2 linked regions of the Stegostoma tigrinum genome follow. The protein of the gene in region 2 binds, or shares a complex with, the protein of the main gene of each other region. Links are inferred from orthologs where the notes say so. Each region holds a gene or a part of one and is shown on either strand. Other genes may lie near its edges.

Region 1 (10,305 bases), on a different chromosome or scaffold from region 2:
ACCTTCCACATAATCTGAAAAAAAGACTAACTAGCTTAACCTGATTTTTCATCCTCCCCTTATTGCTTTTAAGTTAATCTCTGCTGGTTTTTTAAAAAAAACTTCCCAATCCTCTGGCTTCCTACTAATCTTCACTACATTGCATGCTTTTTCTTTGCTTCTTTGCTGTCCCTGACTTCTCTTATCAGCCCTCGTTGGCTCGTACTCCCCTTAGCATGTTAGTTTTACCACTACAGGCTGTACACTTTTTTCTCATCAGCCATGGTCTGATAGGACAGCCACACTTGTTTGAATTTAAAACTAATAAGATATTCATTGATATATACAAATAGGTTAGGTTGTGTAATTTCTCCATGAAATCGCTCTAGCATGTTTTCTAATGGAGGTATATTACCTATTGTACCATTTCTAACAGTGGTGGACACATTAACCCGTGGCAGAGTGAGCATTTGGCTTTTTGCTGTTTTGAAATTGTATCCCACTTCTGCACATTTTCTTTCAAGATCAAATGGAGTTTATGTCCATACTGCTACTCATCATGTCATATCTTTTATATGTTAACCATCTGATGGCCTGTGGTTGGGGTAGTTCACTGCACTGATCTTCCTTTCTTATTGAGTATAAGGGCCTGCGTATTTATCGGTAGTGGAGGAAAGACCTCTGTTCTCTATAGTCTTAATAAGATTAGGCAATTATTACAACAATCAGAAACTATGTATATCACATTTGACTTATTTGGTAATTTGTGCAAAACTAACTTTCTCTATTCAAAGACTTTGTAATAACATTAGATTGCGCGAAGCTCATGCAACTTAAACATTAGCTCTCAAAACCAGTAACTTGTACAAGTACAACCTCTATCCAGCACATTAATATTCTCTTTAACTAATACTATCACCCTTCGCCTTTTCCTTTCCTACATTTGCTGAATGCCTTGCACTGCTACCTTTTTTGAGCCAAGTCTATTTATCACCAATATGTCATATTCCTATGTGAGTACCTGAGCCTACAGCTCATGAACCTTGCTTATTATGGCTTGTGCCCTTGCAAACATGCAATGTAAAGCTGAGACATTTGCATTGTCATAGCTTGACTTCAGCTCATACCTTAATTTTTTCTTTCAGTTCCATCTATCTCTTCCAACCATTTGCATAACTTGTTTTTTTTATAATAAGAAAACATCCTGGTTATCTTTCCCTGTCAAGTTAGCAAACTGCTGCATGAGAATATACCAAATAACAGACAAATGTGTGAATGTACAGATGGTGCAGAAGGGAGGTTTTTACATTCCTGAGTCATTGGGACCTGTTTTGGGGGAGGTATAATATACTGAAGCCAACAATTCACACTTCATCAGAGTCCTAGTTCATTATTACCACAACTCATCTTCCCTGGTATTGTGTCTAGATACCTGTCAGGATTCTCTGTTGAATGTTCCTCTAAACATTTAATATTCTAAGAATACTTGTTTCCTTTTCTAGAGAGTATTTTAATGTATCCCTTAAACAGGATGTTCAAAAAGATTAATAGTTCTTCATTTATGGAATTGCTGTACTTTTGCCTTATTTCTTTATGTTTTTATCTTGTACCTAGGTACCTTTGTACCTAAGATAATAAAATGTGAGGCTGGATGAACACAACAGGCCAAGCAGCATCTCAGGAGCACAAAAGCTGACGTTTCGGGCCTAGACCCTTCATTATCTTGGATTCTCCAGCATCTGCAGTTCCCATTATCTCTGATACCTTTGTACCTAAGATGGTGCAGTGAATGGCGACTTTATACAATTTTCACCATACTCCAGTACTTGAGTACATATGGCAATAAACCTAATTCTAATTATTTTTTGATATTGTTGCCTTCAAAAATAACCTGTATCATTTAAGAACACTGTTTCTGACAGGTATTTTTGTTTATTCGTTAAATGGAATTTACAGATGTCTGGAGACTCTTGTGTTCACAATTAGTGGTTTGATATGTTTATACTGGGGCTCAATATTCACATACAGAGTAAAATACTGATCTCTCAGTTCCATGCGATGTAGTCTGGTAACCTCCAACCTCAGCTGTTCCAGAGTTTTCGAGGAAGTGAAGTTCATCTCCTTTTCCCCTGTGTAATCTGGATCCTCTGGATAAAGTTCATCACCAGGATACAAAATCGCATAGCCATCAGAAGCAAGGAAACGGATCGGAAGCCATCGCTCACAGCCTTCCAATGCCCGATAATGGCAAAACTGTTGCAGATCTTGGAAATGGGGTAATTGGCATAGTCTGCCCAGTTCATACCACTGTGGGGGAGCGATGTAAAGTTTCCCCAAATTACAGCTTTCAATAAAATCAGATGGGGACATCCAGTTGTAGGAAATAGTTTCATGGCCATCTTGCATTGTGAAAGGAATCTCTTGCAAACAACAGATGAAGAATACAGTATCAAAACGTTTTCTCTCCATATACGTGGGTGTTAACCAATTACTCCACTCCTTCAATGCCCAAATATTTGGTACACAGTCCAGCTGTTTGCAAAGTTCTACAAAATTTGCTGCATTTTTCCGTACAAGCTGGTTCCAATTTGCAAGTTCCTTTTGATCGTACTGTGGAAGCTTTATGGCCCCTTGGCTGCTCAAACATGTTTCAGAGGCATTTGGCTTCACAAGTAGAATCCCTGATTCTTCAAAGGTTTCCCTTATAGCACAAATACGGAAAGCTACTTCTCCAGGGATTTCTGATCCTAGATTTCTCCTGTCCATTGCAAGAATTGGAGGTCTCTTGGAGGTTTGCTTGACTGTACCTAGTTTAAAGTTGGGTGGCTTGCAAAAGGGCTGAAACATCTGAATCCACTCACTGGAAAAATCAGATGAACTGACTGTACCTCCAGGGAACACCTGAGCATGAGGCATGAAACTGCTTTTTGCACTCCGTTGTAACATAAGTACAGCATAATCAAAGACAGGCATCTCCAACCATGAGTGAATTACATTTGTCTCTTGTTTAGACACTGAATGTGGAGGCTGACAAGCCTGTGTACTGGTGGAACCTTTGTCCACAAAGCAATTTCGAATACCTGAAGTTAAGATGACAGTGGCTGCTTCTTTCCAATACTTTAAGTCTCGGTTCATCTTTGCTGCAAAAAGGTACAATCTATTAATTTATTAGTTGTTGCTGGCTCTGTACAGCTCTTACAGCTCATTAGCAACCCCAATGCCATCTTGCTCAAACCAGCCCCCCCCCAGCAATCTCTAATACTGGGGGCTCACATCTTCCCCAAAGAACTTTTAAAAAAACAGCAGATTCACTAGAAAGCTTGTAGACCTTGTTAAGCATAAAAAACCCCAGGCCTACATCATATAAGATCCCCACTGAACACACTGCCCATAACGCCACGTGGTCAACTTTGCAAGATCCCCCAATCCCAAGCAAAATAATACACAGTAATTGTGCTAGTGGGAATTTGATCACTGAATTGGATTTCAACTCTTGGACTCAGATATAACCCTTCTTCAGATATTGCCTGGCTTGCTGTGTTCTTCCAGCTTTGTCTGCAAAGCTGAGGTGAGAGTAACAGCCTTTGACATCCAAGCCGCATTTAACCAAGTGTGGCATCAAGGAGCCCTAGCAAAATTGGAATCAATAGATATCAGGGGAATAGCTCTCTGCTGCTTAGAGTCATACCTGGCACAAAGAAAAAGGTCGTGATTGTTGGAAGGCAGTGCATTGTAAATCACCCTCTTTGATTCCACTCGTTCTGCAATGTCACAATCTTTCTCACTTGACATTGTGGCAACCTTATTACGAGATTGCCTGGAGCCCGAAAGAAAGAAGAACCTCTAGCTTACCTGTTTCAACAAAGTTACCAGGAATTGGATTATAGCCATCGAGGCCGAGGTAAATATTGAACATTTTTTAAAAAAAACTTGTTTCTTTGTGAACCACAAGGATAGCTCCTCTGGACTTCTACAGAGGCCTTGGGTTTCGTCATGCGATTTTTCCCAAATACCTCTCACCATCAATGAAATCACCCTCCTCAATCAAACCCACCACTCTGCTCCCACAAACCCTACCGCAATTATTCAGATAAACTCAACCCCCAAGCCACCATTAGCCCACTCAGTTCATTTCACCACATCCGTGTTTCCCTCTTCAATGCCCCCCACACTCTATGACAGCCAGCAGCCGTACTCCCGAGTGCCCAGCCCCTTAACACGACTGAAATAACAAGGTGTAGAGCTGGATGAACACTGCAGGCCAAGCACCATCACAGCAGGAAAGCTGACATTTCGGGCCTAAAGGGGAGGGGTGGCCGGGGCTCTCCTTTCCCTGGGTCGGGGTTTTATCTTACCGTGCCCACCCTTCCTTGTAGTTTGTATGTAAAAGGAAGCGGGTGCAATGTTGGGGTTATATACCCTACCGGCTGAAGTGCTGACACTGATTCCAACTCTTCGCCCGTTACGCGTGACACGTTTTGTTTACGCTTTGTTACGAGGTTGGTTCCAGATCACAGTTGCGTTAAGTTTCCGAAGCTGACAACCTGTCTTCAGCGGCTGTGCACAGATCCGGAACATGAGCAAAAACAGCGATGCTGCTCTTGAGCTCGCACGGACACGTCCAAGTTTACCTCACCGAGTGCGCCGGCGCACGGTCCCAGGCACGCCGCTTCCGCTGCTCGCTCAAACTCTGCGTTGCCCATGCGCACAGCGAATGCGTGCCACTCGCTCAGGGGAAACAGTAACTCATTCAGCGTCTATGGAGAAAAGGTAGAGTTAACATTTTGGGCCCAGTTGAGCCCTCCTCAAAACCCAGGAATTTTGGGTTGGTGAGGTAGATATAAAGAATTTGTAGACACCATAAAAAATCTGCACATGCTGGAATCCAAGGTAGACAAACAGGAGGCTGGAAGAACACAGCAAGCCCGGCAGCATCTGGAGGAAAGGAGCAGTCAACTTTTCAGATATAACCCTTCTTCGGATATTGCCTGGCTTGCTGTGTTCTTCCAGCTTTGTCTGCAAAGCTGAGGTGAGAGTAACAGCCTTTGACATCCAAGCCGCATTTAACCAAGTGTGGCATCAAGGAGCCCTAGCAAAATTGGAATCAATAGATATCAGGGGAAAAGCTCTCTGCTGCTTAGAGTAATACCCAGCACAAAGAAAGAGGTCATGATTGTTGGAAGTCAATTATTGTCAGCCCTAGTACATCTCTGCGGGAGTTCCTCAGGATAGTGCCCTAGGCCCAACTATCTTCAGCTGCTTCATCAATGACATTCCCTCCATCATAAAATCAGAAGTGGGGATGTTCGCTGATAATTGCACAGTGTTCAGCACTATTCACAACTTCTCTGATACTGAAGCAGTCTGTGTTCAAATGAAACAAGTCCTGTACAATATCTAGGCTTGGGCTGACAAGTGGCAAGTAACATGATTTAGATTTAGATTTTATTATCATGTGTACTGAAATACAGTGAAAATCTTTGTTTACAAGCGGTACAGACAAATCACGGCAAGCAAAGGAATGTACAGATGAAAAACACTTAGAGGCATACAAGTTACATTGCCAGGTTCATTATTTGGGGCTACAGTCCATTCAACAGTCTGATAGTGGGCGGAAAAAAAAGCTGGACTGTGCTGTGCACATCACCTTCAGTAGTTTCCTACAGTCCAGGGCAGATCAGTTGCCAGACCAGGCTGTTTTGCACATAGTATGCTTTCGATGGTGCATCTGTAGAAGTTGGTGAGGGACCTTATGAACATGCCAATTTTCCTGAGCTGAGTGAGGAAGAAGAAGTATCGTTGTGCTTTCTTGACTGCCACATCTACATGGAAAGTCCAGGACAGACTGTCAGTTACCATCACTCTAAGGAACTTGATTCTTCACACTGTCAATCTCAGTTCCGATGATGTAGTTGGGGGGCATGTTCTCCTACTTTCTTTCTGAAGTTGATTTCAGTTCTTTAGCTTTGCCGATGTTGAGAGACAGATTGTTTCCATTGTACCGACACACCAAGAAGAGAATCTAACGACTGCCCCTTTACATTCAATGGTGTTACCATCATTGAATTCCCCCACTATCAACATACAAGGGGGTACTATTGACCAGAAACTCAACTGGACTTTCCACATAAACACAGTGGCTACAAGAGCAGGTCAGATGCTTGGAATACTGCGGTGAATACTGCAGGAGTAGGCAATTCAGCCCATGAGCCTGCTCTTTTAATACATGGCTGATCTCATGTAGGCCTCAACTCCACTTTCCCACTTGCTCTCTGTAACCTTTCAACCAATTACTAATTAAAAATCAGTGTATCTTCTCCTTAAATTTGCTCAATGTTCTGGCATCCACCACTGTCTGGGGATGGTGAATTTCACCTACTCCCACTGTCTCCTACTCCCAAAGCCTGTCCAATGTCTCCAAGGCACAAGTCAGGAATCTGATGGAATGCTCCCCACTTGCCTGGGTGGTGCAGCTCCAACAACACTCAAGAAGCTTGGTACCATACAGGAAAAAAGAACAGTCCACTTGATTGGCACTATATCCATTCTGTCCACCATTGATGCTCAGTAGCAGCAATGTGTACGATCTACAAGACACACCACAGAAATTCACCAAAAATCCTCAGATAGCACCCTTCAAACCCACAAGCATTTCCATCTAGAAGGACAAAACAACAGATACCCGGGAGCATCATTACCTTCAAGTTCCCCTCCAAGCCACTCACTATCCTAACTTGGAAGTGTATTGCTGTTCCTTCATTGTCGTTGGATCAAAATGCTCGAATTTTCTCCCTAATAGTATTGTGGGTCAACACACAGCAGGTGGACTGCAGCGGTTCGAGAAGGCAGCTCACCACTACCTTTTCAAGGGCTGGTAGAGATGGCAATAAATACTGGCTAATTGGCAACGTCCACATCCCACAAATGAATAAATAAACATACAAACAGCCCATCTCTGAGCTGGCATGCTACACACTACCAAACATTACTCCATCTGTGGGTCAGGATGACCATGCTGCAAGAATAGAAAGAGTTGCAGCTAGCATTACAACAGGATAATATTTATAATAAAAGAATTAAATTTCCTATCCAGTTGCCTTAAATGTAGATACAAAATTGGGGTTGTCCCTTTTTCACTTTCCATTTTGTCTCTGTGAAGTTCAATGCTCGCATAATAATTTACAATCTTTAGAGATTCTGAGTTGCTTTTTGACATTAGGGAAACCAGGTACCTTGACAAAGTCTGAGCAAAGGAAGGGCGACTAAAAGCTGACTTGAAGAAATGGGGTTCAAGCAGGGACTCAAAGTAGAGGAAGCTGGTAGAGCAGCAGGTAAGCAGCTGAAGACACAGCATTAATTGAAGGGAGATGCACAAATGGCTGAAATAAGAAGGGTAGTGGGGAGGCTGTACGGCTGGAGGAGCAGTCCTACAAAAGTCGACAAGCACAAAATAGTCAAACAACAACCTTACATAGTCATGTTCATGGAATCATATCCAGAGGACAATGTCCCAAATACCATCATCCCTTGGTATGCCCAGTCCCACTGACAGGACAGAACCATCATAGATGGTGGCACAGTGGTATACAGTCAGGATAGAGTTGTCCTTGGAGTCTTCAGCATTGATTCCAAAGTAGTCTTTTGGCATCATGCCAAACATGTGAAGGTAATCTGCTGTTTGCCATCCATGATGCCACCCACCCCTCCAGCCCCCTCTGCACCCAAAAAAAGGCTGGTGAATGAGTTCTCCATGTTGGAGGAGGCACCAAGGGATTCAGGGCAACAGAATGATGGGAAACTTCAATATCCATCAACGAGCATGGCTCTGTAGCACAAATACTGACCCAGTCCTAAAGATCATAGTCTGTAGACTGGGCCTGTGTCAGTTGGTGAGGGAACCAACAAAAAGAAAAGATGTACTTTGACCTCATCCTCAATAATCACAAGAACTAGAAGCAGGAGTCGGCAATTCAGCCCATGAGCCTGCTCTTTTAATACATGGCTGATCTCATGTAGGCCTCAACTCCACTTTCCCACTTGCTCTCTGTAACCTTTCAACCAATTACTAATTAAAAATCAGTGTATCTTCTCCTTAAATTTGCTCAATGTTCTGGCATCCACCACTGTCTGGGGATGGTGAATTTCACAAATTCACAACCCTTTGAGAGAAGTCATTTCTCCAACTGCAGCAGATGCATTTGTCATAGAGGTATACAGCCCTTCAGTCCAACTGGTCCGTACCAACCATGTTTCAAAATTAAACCAGTCCCACCTGCCTGCAAATAGCCCATATCCCTGTAAACATTTCCTATTCATATACTTATCCAAATGTCTTTTAAACGTTGTAACTGTACTTCCACCCACCACTTTCTCTGGCAATTCACTCCACATACTAACCACTCTCTGTGTAGAGAAGTTGTTTATTGTGCCCATTTTAAATCTTTCTACTGTCACCTTAAAAATATGCCCCCACCTTAGGGAAAATACCTTTGCTATTCACCTTATGTATGCCCCTCATGTTTTATAAATCTCTCACCCCTCAACCTCTCACACTACAGTGAAAAAAATTCTAGCCTATCCAGCATTTCCTATAACTCAAGCCCTCCATTCCTGGCATCATCCTGGTAAATCTTTTCTGAATCCTCTCCAATTTAGTAATATTCCTCCTATAACAGAGTCACCAGAGCTGCACACAGTACTCCAGAACAGACCTTACCAATGTGCTGTACAACTCAAACATGAAATCTGAACTCCTAAACTCAAAGGTCTGAGCATTGAGAGGAGGCATGCTAAACACTTTCTTAACCATCCTTTCTACCTGTGACACAAATTTCAAACAATTATGTACTTGAACCCCTAGGACTCTTGGTTGTATACCACTACTCTGCCATTAATTTTCTAAGTCCTGCCTTTGTTTGTTTCACCAATATGTAATACCTTGCATTTATACAAATTAAACTCCATCTGCCACTCCACAGCCCATTGTACCAATTCATCAAGATCTCTTTGTAATCTTAGATAACCTTCCTCATTGTTCATTATACTGCCAATTTTGGTGCCATCCGTAAACTTACTAACCAGGCCTCCTGTATTCTCATTTGTATCATTTATATTAATGATAAACAAAAGTGGACCCAATGGAGACAGTAAGGACTGCAGATGCTGGAAGCTAGAGTCAATAAATGTGGGCCTGGAAAAGCACAGCAGGTGAAACAGCGTCTGATGAGCAGGAGAGTCAATGATGAAGGGTTTCGGCCAAAATGTTGACTTTCCTGCTCCTCAGATGCCGTCTGACTGGCTATGGTTTTCCAGCTCCACATTTATTGACAGAAGTAGACCCGATACCAATCCCTGTGGAACACTGCTGCTCACTGGCCTCTAGTCCAAAAACAACCCTCCACCACCACCAACTGTCTCCTGCCATAAAGCCAATTTTGCATCCAATTGGCAAGCTCACCTTGAATCTCATGTGATGCAACTTTACTTATTAGTCTATCATGAAGAATCTTATCAAAAGCTTTATTAAAGATCAACTAAACAACATCTACTGCTCTGGTCTCATAAATCTTTTTGGTTACTTCCTCAAAAAACTGAATCAGGTTTGTGAGACACAATTTCCCTTGCACAAAAAGAAGTGACTCTTGAACACACCTTGTGGAGATGAAGTCATGCTATCACACTAAGTACCACGTCCATTGTGTTGTTTGGCATTACTACTGTGTAGAATAGAATAGATTTTGAACAGATTTAGAAATTCAAGACTGGACATCCAGAAGGTGCTGTGGACCATCAGCAGCAGCAGAACTGTATTCAACTACAATTTATAAACTTACGATCCAGTGTATTACCCACTCAACCATGACCAATAAGACAGCAGATCAACCCTACAGTCAATAACTGTGCAGGAGGCCAAGCTGGGAACAGCATCAGGCATACCTAAAATACAGTCTCAACCTGGTGAAACTACTACTCAGGACTTTGTACATGCAAAGCAGTGTAAGCACATGAGATAGATAGAGCTGAGTGATCCTGTAACCAGTGAATGAGAACTAAGCTGTGCAGTCCTCCAACAATCTTTGGTGAATGGTGGTGGACAATCAGTCAATTCACTCAAGGAGCAAACTCCACAAATATCCCCACTTTCAATAACGGGGGGAGGCCAACACATCAATGCTGGAAGAAAAAGACAACACTGAAACCCAGAAAGCATCTTCAGCCAGAAGTGTCAAAGTGATTTTCCATTTGGGCCTCCTTCTGAGGTCCCCAGAATCATGGATGACAACCTTCAACTCATTCAATTCACTCCACATGATATCAAGAAACAGG
Region 2 (10,011 bases):
CAATGGATATCTACAGGGTAATCACACTTTAAAGTGCAAACAACCACAGTAAATGGCCTGTATCCTTAACGTATCTAGTAAGTGGCACCTCTGAAGTCAATTTCCATGTCAAATGACAAATGGTTAGTAGCAATTGCATAAGTTTGGATAGGATGGTAGCAACCATTTTCTGCTACATTATCACTGATGAGATTACTATCAAATATACATTTACTCAACATAAACTGGGCAGTAGTTTAATAAAGACAGTGTTAGTGCAACATCTAGACTTATCAGTATATTTGTAAAATCAAGAATTAACAGCTTCCAATTACCACTGCTCGTAAATTCTATTTCAGACACTGAAAGTAAAGTGTCTGCTGAGAAAATCATTCCTGGATTTTCGCTTTCATTCTCCTGAAATTGAGTTGAATTTACCTCCATCTAGTACATGGATTTTTTTTTCCTCTGTAGAAGTTCCTGTAGGTTAATAACTATTATATTCCTCTCTTCCTGGTTTGTTATCACCTGCTGGTATATTAAACCTTTCAAATGCTAATGTGAATACATATAAATAATTTGTTGACTGGCAGAGAAATTTAAACTGCTGCACACAATAATTCCAGATTAAAATTTACCAAAATTGCAATATAATTGCAACTTGTTTAAAGAGTTGCTATCCTGGGCCACTTGTCAAAGCGTCTCTATCAACACCGTTTGATATCAATAAACTGAGTAAAAAGACTTCTTTTCACTCAATCACATGTGATAGAAAACTAGACAGAGTCCACAAAATGATTTTCTTGGCAACACCAGCAAGTAATTCTTGCTTCTTCAGACAAGATGTATTTGCATTCAAAGGTGGTTAATCTCTTAAAATTGTACGTTTCTACTTGTTATCTGGAACCACTGTTCTACGAATTTTGCCAGCACATTCCTGGAGTTTTTCCTCCAGATTTGTCAGTCCAATCTTAAACAATTTTGAATCATTGTTTTAGAGGTGATTTTCTGGTCCTACCCCCCTCATTTTATTTATCATCAAATGACTGGAAGATGAGGGTGTAAAACTATCATTCGATGCATGTCTTAAAAACTGTGGTATCTCAAGATAATCTTGCCTTTCGAAGTCACACCAATTCACTTGTCCTAAAAATATCAAAATGTGTTAAAATTTGACAGGAATACCAACTGATAACGCAACAAGCTTAATACATACATCTGGCCACATGCTTTCAATTTGTGATCTATGAACTTGACTTACACTAAGTGGAAAAGGAGCCAGTTAAGTCTTAAAATTTCCTATTTTGTACACTAAATATTAGCTCATACTTGCTGTCACTTTTAAGCTCAAAAACATTTAGGAATAGATTGTCACTATTTGATAGCTGACAGTCTTCTAATAGAAAGCAAGTCAATGGTATTGCAGCTTTTGTCTTTCAAGAAATGTGATAATTAATATATCTAGCAGATTCTCATGTCACTGCTCACTATGAACAGAATGACCTATAGTCAGGATTATACCATGTTCCAGACAAGGCACAGCTAAAATGGAGCAATATGCATCCAGCATGCCCTGAGATGTTAGAAACATTATTTAAACTGAACAGCATTTAAAGAACCGATTCACTATATTTAGCTCCAAAGATTAGCAGTTGTGCAAATCCTTTGCACCACTGGAAGTGAAATATTTTCACTTTCTTTTAAAAGGCAGTAAAACAACTTAACTAATTTAGAGAACAAAATCCCTTCTAAAAATCCTCTTTTGTAAGATGTTAGCACCACTGGCAAAGTATCTACCAAGCATCTCTGATTATCCTTGGAACAAATGGCTTGCTGGGCCTTTCAGAGTACTGAAATGCTAACTACATCACTGTAGATGTGGAGACACATTTGCCATCCTTACCCTGGTCTGGCCCACATTTTCTCTTCTAAAAAAAGTACTAGTAAACCAAGATAATAAAATGTGAGGCTGGATGAACACAGCAGGCCAAGCAGCATCTCAGGAGCACAAAAGCTTTTGTGCTCCTGAGATGCTGCTTGGCCTGCTGTGTTCATCCAGCCTCACATTTTATTATCTTGGATTCTCCAGCATCTGCAGTTCCCATTATCTCTGATACTAGTAAACCAAGCAGTGTTTTACAAGATTGAAGTGTGGTCTTGTAGTATCCACAGCGTGGCTTAATTCCAAATTTGTCTGTTGAATTTAAATCCCACCAGCTACCGGGGCAGTTCCCCTGAGCAGCAGTCTGTGACCCCCTGAATTACCGCTCCAGTTACATCACCACTATGTCACTTTTCCCAAGCCTCCAAAAATTATTTACATATATTCATAACTGAATAGTTAATTCAAATATCCCAATGTAAGATTAACAAGATCCTGAAGCAGGATTGGACCAGTTACAATAAATTGTAATGATACAAAAGGGAAAGAAAATGTTAGCTGTTAATCAGAACTCGAAACCATATCTCCTGAGTGCAAACTGATTTGCAGCCCCATAGCCACACCATCTATACATGGACCCAGCTACTGTTATCTCTGTTAACATCCCCAAGTGCAATGATGTACTCAATGCTCACCTAGCAACTTATATCTAACCAAATTCAGTGCAACCAAAATTCTGGCTGCCATTATCCTAGCAATTCGTCACCATACATCATCCTAATCCCCGATACTGTAAACCCATTTTCAGGGCCCAAAATATCAAATAAGATAGTAGGAACTGCAGATGCTGGAGAATCTGAGATAACAAGGTGTAGAAGTGGATGAACACAGCAGGCACTCCTTCAAAATGCCTTAACACACCAGACCAAAGTTTCCAATCCTCCCTAATAATCTCTAGATAGAGGCTACAAGCTGCCCAGGATGGACATGCTATGCAGGGGGTGGGGTGCAAGTGGTTTGCGACTGGAAGGTGTTGTGGTCTGTTGTAAACCGAGCGCGACAAACAACAACCCCTTCCAGTCGCAAACCACTTCACCTCCCCAACCGACTCCCTGGACGGCATGTCCATCCTAGCCCTCCTCCAGCGTCACAACACCACCACCACCACCCAGAAACTGGAGGAGCAGCACCTCATATTCCACCTTGGGAGACTGCCACTCAATGGCCTCAACGTGACCTTTACTGGCTTCAAAATCTCCCCATCCCCTGTCTCGTCCCAAGACCAACCCACCCCTCTCATCTTTGCCTCCTTGATCTGAGACAACCTGTTCGTCTGGTCTCCCACCTATCTGCTCCTCCCACCTCACTGACCAATCCCCATCACTGCCTAGCTGCACTCACCTACCTTCCCCAGCCCAAACGCCACCTTTATTTTACAACCCCCTTCCCCTCCATTTTTGGAGAAGGGTCCTGACTAGAAACGTCAGGTTTTCCTTCCTCTGATGCTGCCTGGGCTGCTGTGACCCTCCAGCTCCACAACTATCATCTCAGACTTCAGCATCGGAAGTTTTACCATCTTTCCAACAGTGTAGTCGAGAACTACATCCAACTGTAGTCTAACTAGAGTTATACAGTTGAAGCATAATCTCCCAGTTTATGCTTGATACCCTGGTTTAGAAAGGCAAGTACCCATATGTGGCCTTGACCACTTTATCTGTCAGGGACCTGTGCAGACTCCCAATACTTTTATTTTCTTCTACACTTTCAAGTACCCTTTCACGTAGTGTGTAAACAGGGAGTATGTGGGAACAGCGTACTGAAAAAAATGCTGGTGATCACAGCAGGTCAGGCAGCATCCATGGAGATAGCAAGCTAACAGTACAAGTCCAGATAACTCTTCAGAGTACAGTGTGGGATCATTCGCCATTGTTCTACAGGTCACTCACCCAGAAACATTAACTGGCAGACCTGCTGAGCTTTTCCAGCAACTTCTGTTTTTGTTCCTGATTTACTGCATCTGCAGTTCTTTCAGTTTTTATTTTGTAATGGAACAGCCACAATGGGCAGAAGGGTCTCTTCCTGTTCTGTGGATCTCTATGACTACTGTACAGAGCAAGCTCAAGGAACTCTGACCTACTCATGCTCATATTTTCTTTTCTGGGTACTTCCTTGTGGTGTCAGCTTTTCCTAAAATCATTAACTCACTTGTACCCCTACATCTACATTGTGGGCCAGTGGTTAGTACTGCTGCCTCACAACGCCAGGTATCCAGGTTCGATTCCACCCTCAAACGACTGTCCGTGTGGAGTTTGCACGTTCTCGTGTCTGCATGGATTTCCTCGGTTTCCTCCCACAGTCCAATGTCACGTAGGCTAGGTGGACTGCCCAGGCTAAGTTGCCCATACTGTTCAGGGATGTGTAGATTGGGTGGATTATAGGGGGATGGTGTGGACTTGTTGGGCCAAAGGGCCTGTTTCCACACTGTAGGGATTCAATGATGATAGTGATTTACACATTAGCCAAACGTTTGTTATTATTGCAGATCACAACTTGCTGCCTTGTATTAATACTAATAGAAATAGCTTAAGACACAAGATACAGTAGGTTTATAAAAGAACAATGACCACATGTACTCCTAACCTGAATGTGCGACGTTAACTGGTTCCAAGTACAAGCCATGAGAAACAGACTAGGAACTGTGTTTCCTAAACGCAATGTGTCAATTTCATTGAAAACAGAAATTTGCCATACGAATTTACAACAGTGTCTGGGATGGCAACCGAAACTTGTCAGGTGATTTCAGCTCAGCCTCTGGAATAGCTCCACGTGTTGAATAAACATACCGCTCCGAACGTAACAAAGGTGGAATTTCGAATAAAAAAAGTTACCAAAACGGGTGCCAAAGTAAGGCATCCTGAAGGAAAGGAAATTCACGAACGTAATTGGGGAAAAAAGAAAACAAGATACTCCAGAAGAAATTTTTACAGTAAGAGAATGAAATACTTTTTTTTCACGTGCAGTTCCAAAAAGGGGTTAATCTTGCAGTGTTTTAGCGGCATGGTTTAAAAAGAATTCGCAAAATCCCGGCCTAAATGCCTTAATTGCTGGGCGTTATCATAACTGGTGGAAGGAGACCGGGAATTAAGGGTTGTGAAGGTTAACAAGTTATGCAGCTTTCCTTCCCGTCTTTGAAAAGAAAATGCAGGTCCTGGTCCGCCATCTTAACCTCGCACGGCAGCACAAGACATAAAACGCAACGGGGGGGGGGGGGGTGTTGTAGACTAAAAAACACTTCTGCGAAAGGTAAATCACTACGAACTGCTACTACAACCCGATACTTCAGTTTCCACCTCCCCTTTCAGTGCCCCTCCACCACCCCTCCGCGCCAACAACTTCAACTGAATCCGGCCTACCTGCTCCGCATTTCCTTCGCCAGACATTGTATGATTTTTAAATAAAAATATTGATTTAAAAACCACCAAACTAATTTACGCGGGTAAATGTCGTTCAAGTACGTGCAGAGCTGGCCCTGTCAAACTAAAAATCCCACTTTTCTCTCTTTTTCCCTCCCTTTAAACTCAACAATGCTCCAAACCCTTCCTATCACCACCTCCTCCTCCTCCACCAGCGCTGCCTCAGCGCTTCACAAAATGGCGGCGATCGGCCAACGAAAGCGCAGCCGTTGGCGCGGAGGCGCATGCGCATTATCCATTCGCTCTCCTGCTCTGTCGTTAGCTTTGCGCTCACGCTCGACCTAATCATCTTCACGCGATAGGGAAAATGAATTGTTGGAAATAGTCTCGGTATACTATTGAATAGATTATATTTTTGATTAGAGGTCATAAAAGGTTAAGTTAATCAGAAACTGCCTTCCGATCATATGGGGCACAGTGATAAAGGGAAGGAACAGGAAATTCCAGAGGATTTGAGGCAACTTTTTTTCACCCCCCCGCCAGGTTGGTGGGTGTCTGAAACTCACCGCCTGAAAGGGTAGTAGAAGCGAGAACCCACAGGATATTTGAGAAATGTTTGGAAAATACTTGAAACATTATAGTATACACGGCTATGGGCCAAGAGTTGGAAAAGAAGCGTCCCGACCCGAAGCGTCAACTTTCCTGTTCCTGGCCCACTGTGTTCCTCCAGCTTCACACTGTGCTATCTTAGAACAGCTGGGAGTTAGATAACTGGTGCAAACTGATTTAGGGCTTTATCTCATGCTGTAAAAACACTGAAACCATAAAATAAAATTCAAAGACAGTGAAAGTGCTGGAGAAACTCACGTTTGGTAACATCTAAATAAAAGCCGAAAGAACTGTGGATGCTGTAAATCAGAAACAAAAACAAACTGCTAGAAAATCTCAGGGATAATGGGAACTGCAGATGCTGGAGAATCCGCGATAAGAAGGTGTGGAGCTGGATGAAGGGTCTAGGCCCAAAACGTTGGCTTTCCTGCTCCTAAGATGCTGCTTGGCCTGCTGTGTTCATCCAGCTCCACCCCTGTTATCTTGCTAAAAAAGCTCAGCAGGTTTGGCGGCATCTGTGGAGAGAAATCAGAGTTAACGTTTAGGATTTTCAGAACTGAATTGATTCCGATTTCTCTCTACAGATGCTTCCAGGCCTGGTGAGCTTTTCCAGCAATTTCTTATGTTTGTTTCTGGTAGCATCTGATTGGTAGAGGGGCAAGGTGCACAGTGGCTCAGTGTTTAGCATAGCTACCTTACTGTGCCAGGGACACTGGTGTGATTCAACCCTTGGGCAACTGCACAATCTCCCTATGTCTGTGGGGGTTTCCTCCAGATACTACAGTTCCCTCCCATAGTCCAAAGATGTACAACTTAGGTGAAATTGCCATGCTAAATTGCCCATCGTTTCCAGGATGTGCAGGCTAGATGGATTAGCCAATATAAATGCAGGGTTACAGTGATAGGATCGGGGGGGGGGGGGGGGTGTCTGAGTCTGAGTGGTATGTTCTTTGTAGGGTTGATGTGGACTTGATGGCTTGCTTCGGAGCAAATTACTGCAGATGGTAGAATCTGTACTGAAAACAAAAAAAATGCTGGAGATCACAGCAGAGATAATGGGAACTGCAGATGCTGGAGAATCCAAGACAAGACAATAAAGTGTGAAGCTGGATGAACACAGCAGGCCAAGCAGCATCTCAGGAGCACAAAAGCTGACGTTTCGGGCCTAGACCCTTCATCAGAGCGGGGAATGGGTGAGGGTTCTGGAATAATTAGGGAGAGAGGAGGAGGTGGACCGAAGATGGTGAGAAAAGAAGATAGGTGGAGAGGAGAGTGTGGGGGGGGAGGTAGGGAGGGGATAGGTCAGTCCAGGGAAGACGGACAGGTCAAGGAGGTGGGATGAGGTTAGTAGGTAGGAAATGGAGGTGTGGCTTGGGGTGGGAGGAAGGGATGGGTGAGAGGAAGAACAGGTTAAGGAGGCCGAGACAGGCTGGGCTGGTTTTGGGATGCAGTGGGGGAGGGGATGAGCTGGGCTGGTTGTGTGATGCAGTGGGGGGAGGGGACCAACGGGGCTGGTTTTGGGATGCGGTGGGGGAAGGGGAGATTTTGAAGCTGGTGAAGTCCACATTGATACCATTGGGCTGCAAGGTTCCCAAGTGGAATATGAGTTGCTGTACCATTGGGCTGCATGTATCATGGGCTTCCTGCAGTGCCACAATGATGCCACCCGAAGGTTGCAGGAACAGCAACTCATATTCCGCTTGGGAACCCTGCAGCCCAAAGGTATCAATGTGGACTTCACCAGCTTCTAAATCTCCCCTTCCCTCACTGCATCCCAAAACCAGCCCAGCTCTTCCCTCCACCCACTGCATCCCAAAACCAGCCCAACCTGTCTCTGCCTCCCTAACCTATTCTTCCTCTCACCCATCCCTTCCTCCCACCCCAAGCTGCACCTCCATTTCCTACCTACTAACCTCATCCCACCTCCTTGACCTGTCCGTCTTCCCTGGACTGACCTATCCCCTCCCTACCTCCCCACCTATACTCTCCTCTCCACCTATCTTTTCTCTCCATCTTCGGTCTGCCTCCCCCTCTCTCCCTATTTATTCCAGAACCCTCACCCCACCCCCCCTCTCGGATGAACAGTCTAGGCCCGAAACGCCAGCTTTTGTGCTCCTGAGATGCTGCTTGACCTGCTGTGTTCATCCAGCTTCATACTTTATTATCTTGGAGATCACAGGTCAGGCAGCTTCCATGGAGAGGAAGCAAGCTAACATGTTGTGTCTAAATGACTGTTCACCAGAGCTAATGTGAAGTGTGATGACAGTCGCATTTATGCAGTAGTGGGGAACAGGGGTAGTGCTGGGGACAAAGGATGTTGATAGCTCAGATTAAGTTATTGGAATGTGAGAAAAGGAGAACAATAGTGTGTCTAATTGCAAGATTGAAAAGAACAGACAGTTCCACTAGGGTTGGGGTGGGGGGGGGGAGGGAAGAGACAACATGGTTGTAGAGAATGTAAAAGTAAAGCTAAAAGCAAGGAATGGGAGTGGGTGCATTGTTTGCAAGTATTGAACTCAATATTAAGTCCAAAAGATTGTAACGTACCTAGTCTGACAATGAGATATTGTTCCACCAGTTTGCTCTGTGATTCACTAAAGCATTCAAGATCTGTGGCTGGAAAACAGTAAACAGTCAGATATCACTCTTCACTTTATATTTTTATTTGAAGCATCTGCATTCTTAACCTTTTAAAAGTTATAGAGTCATACAGCACGGAAACAGACCCATCAGTCCAAATTGTCCAGCCTATAGCAGGTGAGGACCTAGAAACAATCATTATCACTAAGGAGGCAGTGCTGGGCAAGCTAATGGGGCTAAAGGTAGACAAGTCTCCTGGCCCTGATGAAATGCATCCCAGGGTATTAAAAGAAGTGATGGGGGAAATAGCAAATGCACTAGTAATTATATACCAAAATTCACTGGACTCTGGGGTAGTTCCCGCAGATTGGAAAACAGCTAATGTGATGCCACTGTTTAAAAAAAGGAAGTAGACAAAAAGCAGATAACTGTAGGCCAGTTAGCTTAACTTCGGTAGGGGGGAAGATGCTTGAATCTATCATTAAGGAAGAAATAGCAAGACATCTGGATACAAATTCTCCCATTGGGAACACCCAGCATGCGTTCATTAAGGTCATGTTTAACTAATTTTGTAGAATTCTTTGAGGACATTACTTACGCGGTGGACAATGGGAAACCTGTGGATGTCGTGTATCTGGATTTCCAGAAGGCATTTGACAAGGTGCCACACCAAAGGCTACTACATAAGATAAAGTTGCATGGTATTACAGGTAGTGTATTGGCATGGATAGAGGATTGGTTGACTAAGAAAGCAAAGAGTAGGGGCAAATATGTGTTTTTCCGGTTGGCGGTCAGTGGCTAGTGGTGTGCCTCAGAGATCAGTGTTGGGACCACAATCGTTTACAATTTACATGGATGATTTGGAGTTGGTGACCAAGTGTGGAGTGTCAAAATATGCAGATGACACTAAGATGAGTGGGAGAGCAAAGTGTGCAGAAGACACTGGAAGTCTGCAGCAGGAAATAAATAGTCTAAGTGAGTGAGCAAAGGTCTGGCAGATGGAATACAATGTTGATAAGTGTGAGGTCATCCATTTTGGTAGAAATAACAGCAAAATGGATTATGTTTTAAATGGTAAAAAATTGCAACATGCTGCTTTGCAGAGGTACTTGAGTGTCCTTGCGCATGAATTGCTAAAAGTAGGATTGTAGGTGCAGCAGGTAATTAAAAAGGCAAATGGAATTTTGTCTGTTATTGCTAGAGGGATGGAATTGAAAAACAGGGAGTCTATGCTGCAGCTGTATAGGGTGCTGGTGAGGCCACATCCGGAGTACTTGCAGTTTTGGCCACATATGGACTACCTGCATTTTGGTCTCCTTACTTGACAAGGGACATACTAGCACTGAAGGGGGTGCAGAGGAGATGCACTCAGTTGATTCCAGAGTTGAGAGGGTTGGATTATGAGGAGAGACTGAGTAGACTGGGTTTGGAATTCAGAAGAATGAGGGGAGATCTTATAGAAACATAGAAGATTATGAAGGGAATAGATAAGGTGGAGGCAGGGATGTTGTTTCCATTAGCAGGTGAAACTAGGACTACGGGGCATAG

The links.
Region 1: the proteins of cstf3 (region 2) and cstf1 are in contact, whole or in part, in a crystal structure (PDB 6B3X), measured with the Homo sapiens proteins. The link is inferred for Stegostoma tigrinum from reciprocal best matches to the Homo sapiens genes CSTF3 and CSTF1. Residues at the interface, in NP_001317.1 of Homo sapiens: Tyr581, Pro582, Lys583, Pro584, Asp585, Thr586, Gln588, Met589, Ile590, Pro591, Phe592, Pro594; in NP_001028693.1 of Homo sapiens: Arg118, Glu216, Ala217, His226, Pro227, Ser228, Asp230, Phe231, Thr240, Arg242, Leu243, Tyr244, Cys251, Phe252, Val253, Ser254, Cys255, Tyr270, Ser272, Ser273, Ala274, Asn275, Gly291, Val292, Ser293, Asn294.

What each region holds. Positions count from the first base shown.
Region 1 is NC_081372.1:55,104,299-55,114,603, forward strand, and holds the start of cstf1 (cleavage stimulation factor subunit 1), read right to left. Parts: upstream 4,713-10,305; 5' UTR 4,404-4,712; exon of another isoform or gene 4,335-4,403; intron 3,120-4,334; exon of another isoform or gene 3,115-3,119; coding exon of another isoform or gene 1,930-3,114; exon of another isoform or gene 1,903-1,929; intron 1-1,902. Other genes in the region: acyl-coenzyme A diphosphatase NUDT19-like, read right to left, coding at 1,930-3,114. UniProt on the Homo sapiens protein: One of the multiple factors required for polyadenylation and 3'-end cleavage of mammalian pre-mRNAs. May be responsible for the interaction of CSTF with other factors to form a stable complex on the pre-mRNA.
Region 2 is NC_081370.1:44,177,400-44,187,410, forward strand, and holds the start of cstf3 (cleavage stimulation factor subunit 3), read right to left. Parts: upstream 4,612-10,011; 5' UTR 4,541-4,611; coding exon 4,502-4,540; intron 1-4,501. UniProt on the Homo sapiens protein: One of the multiple factors required for polyadenylation and 3'-end cleavage of mammalian pre-mRNAs.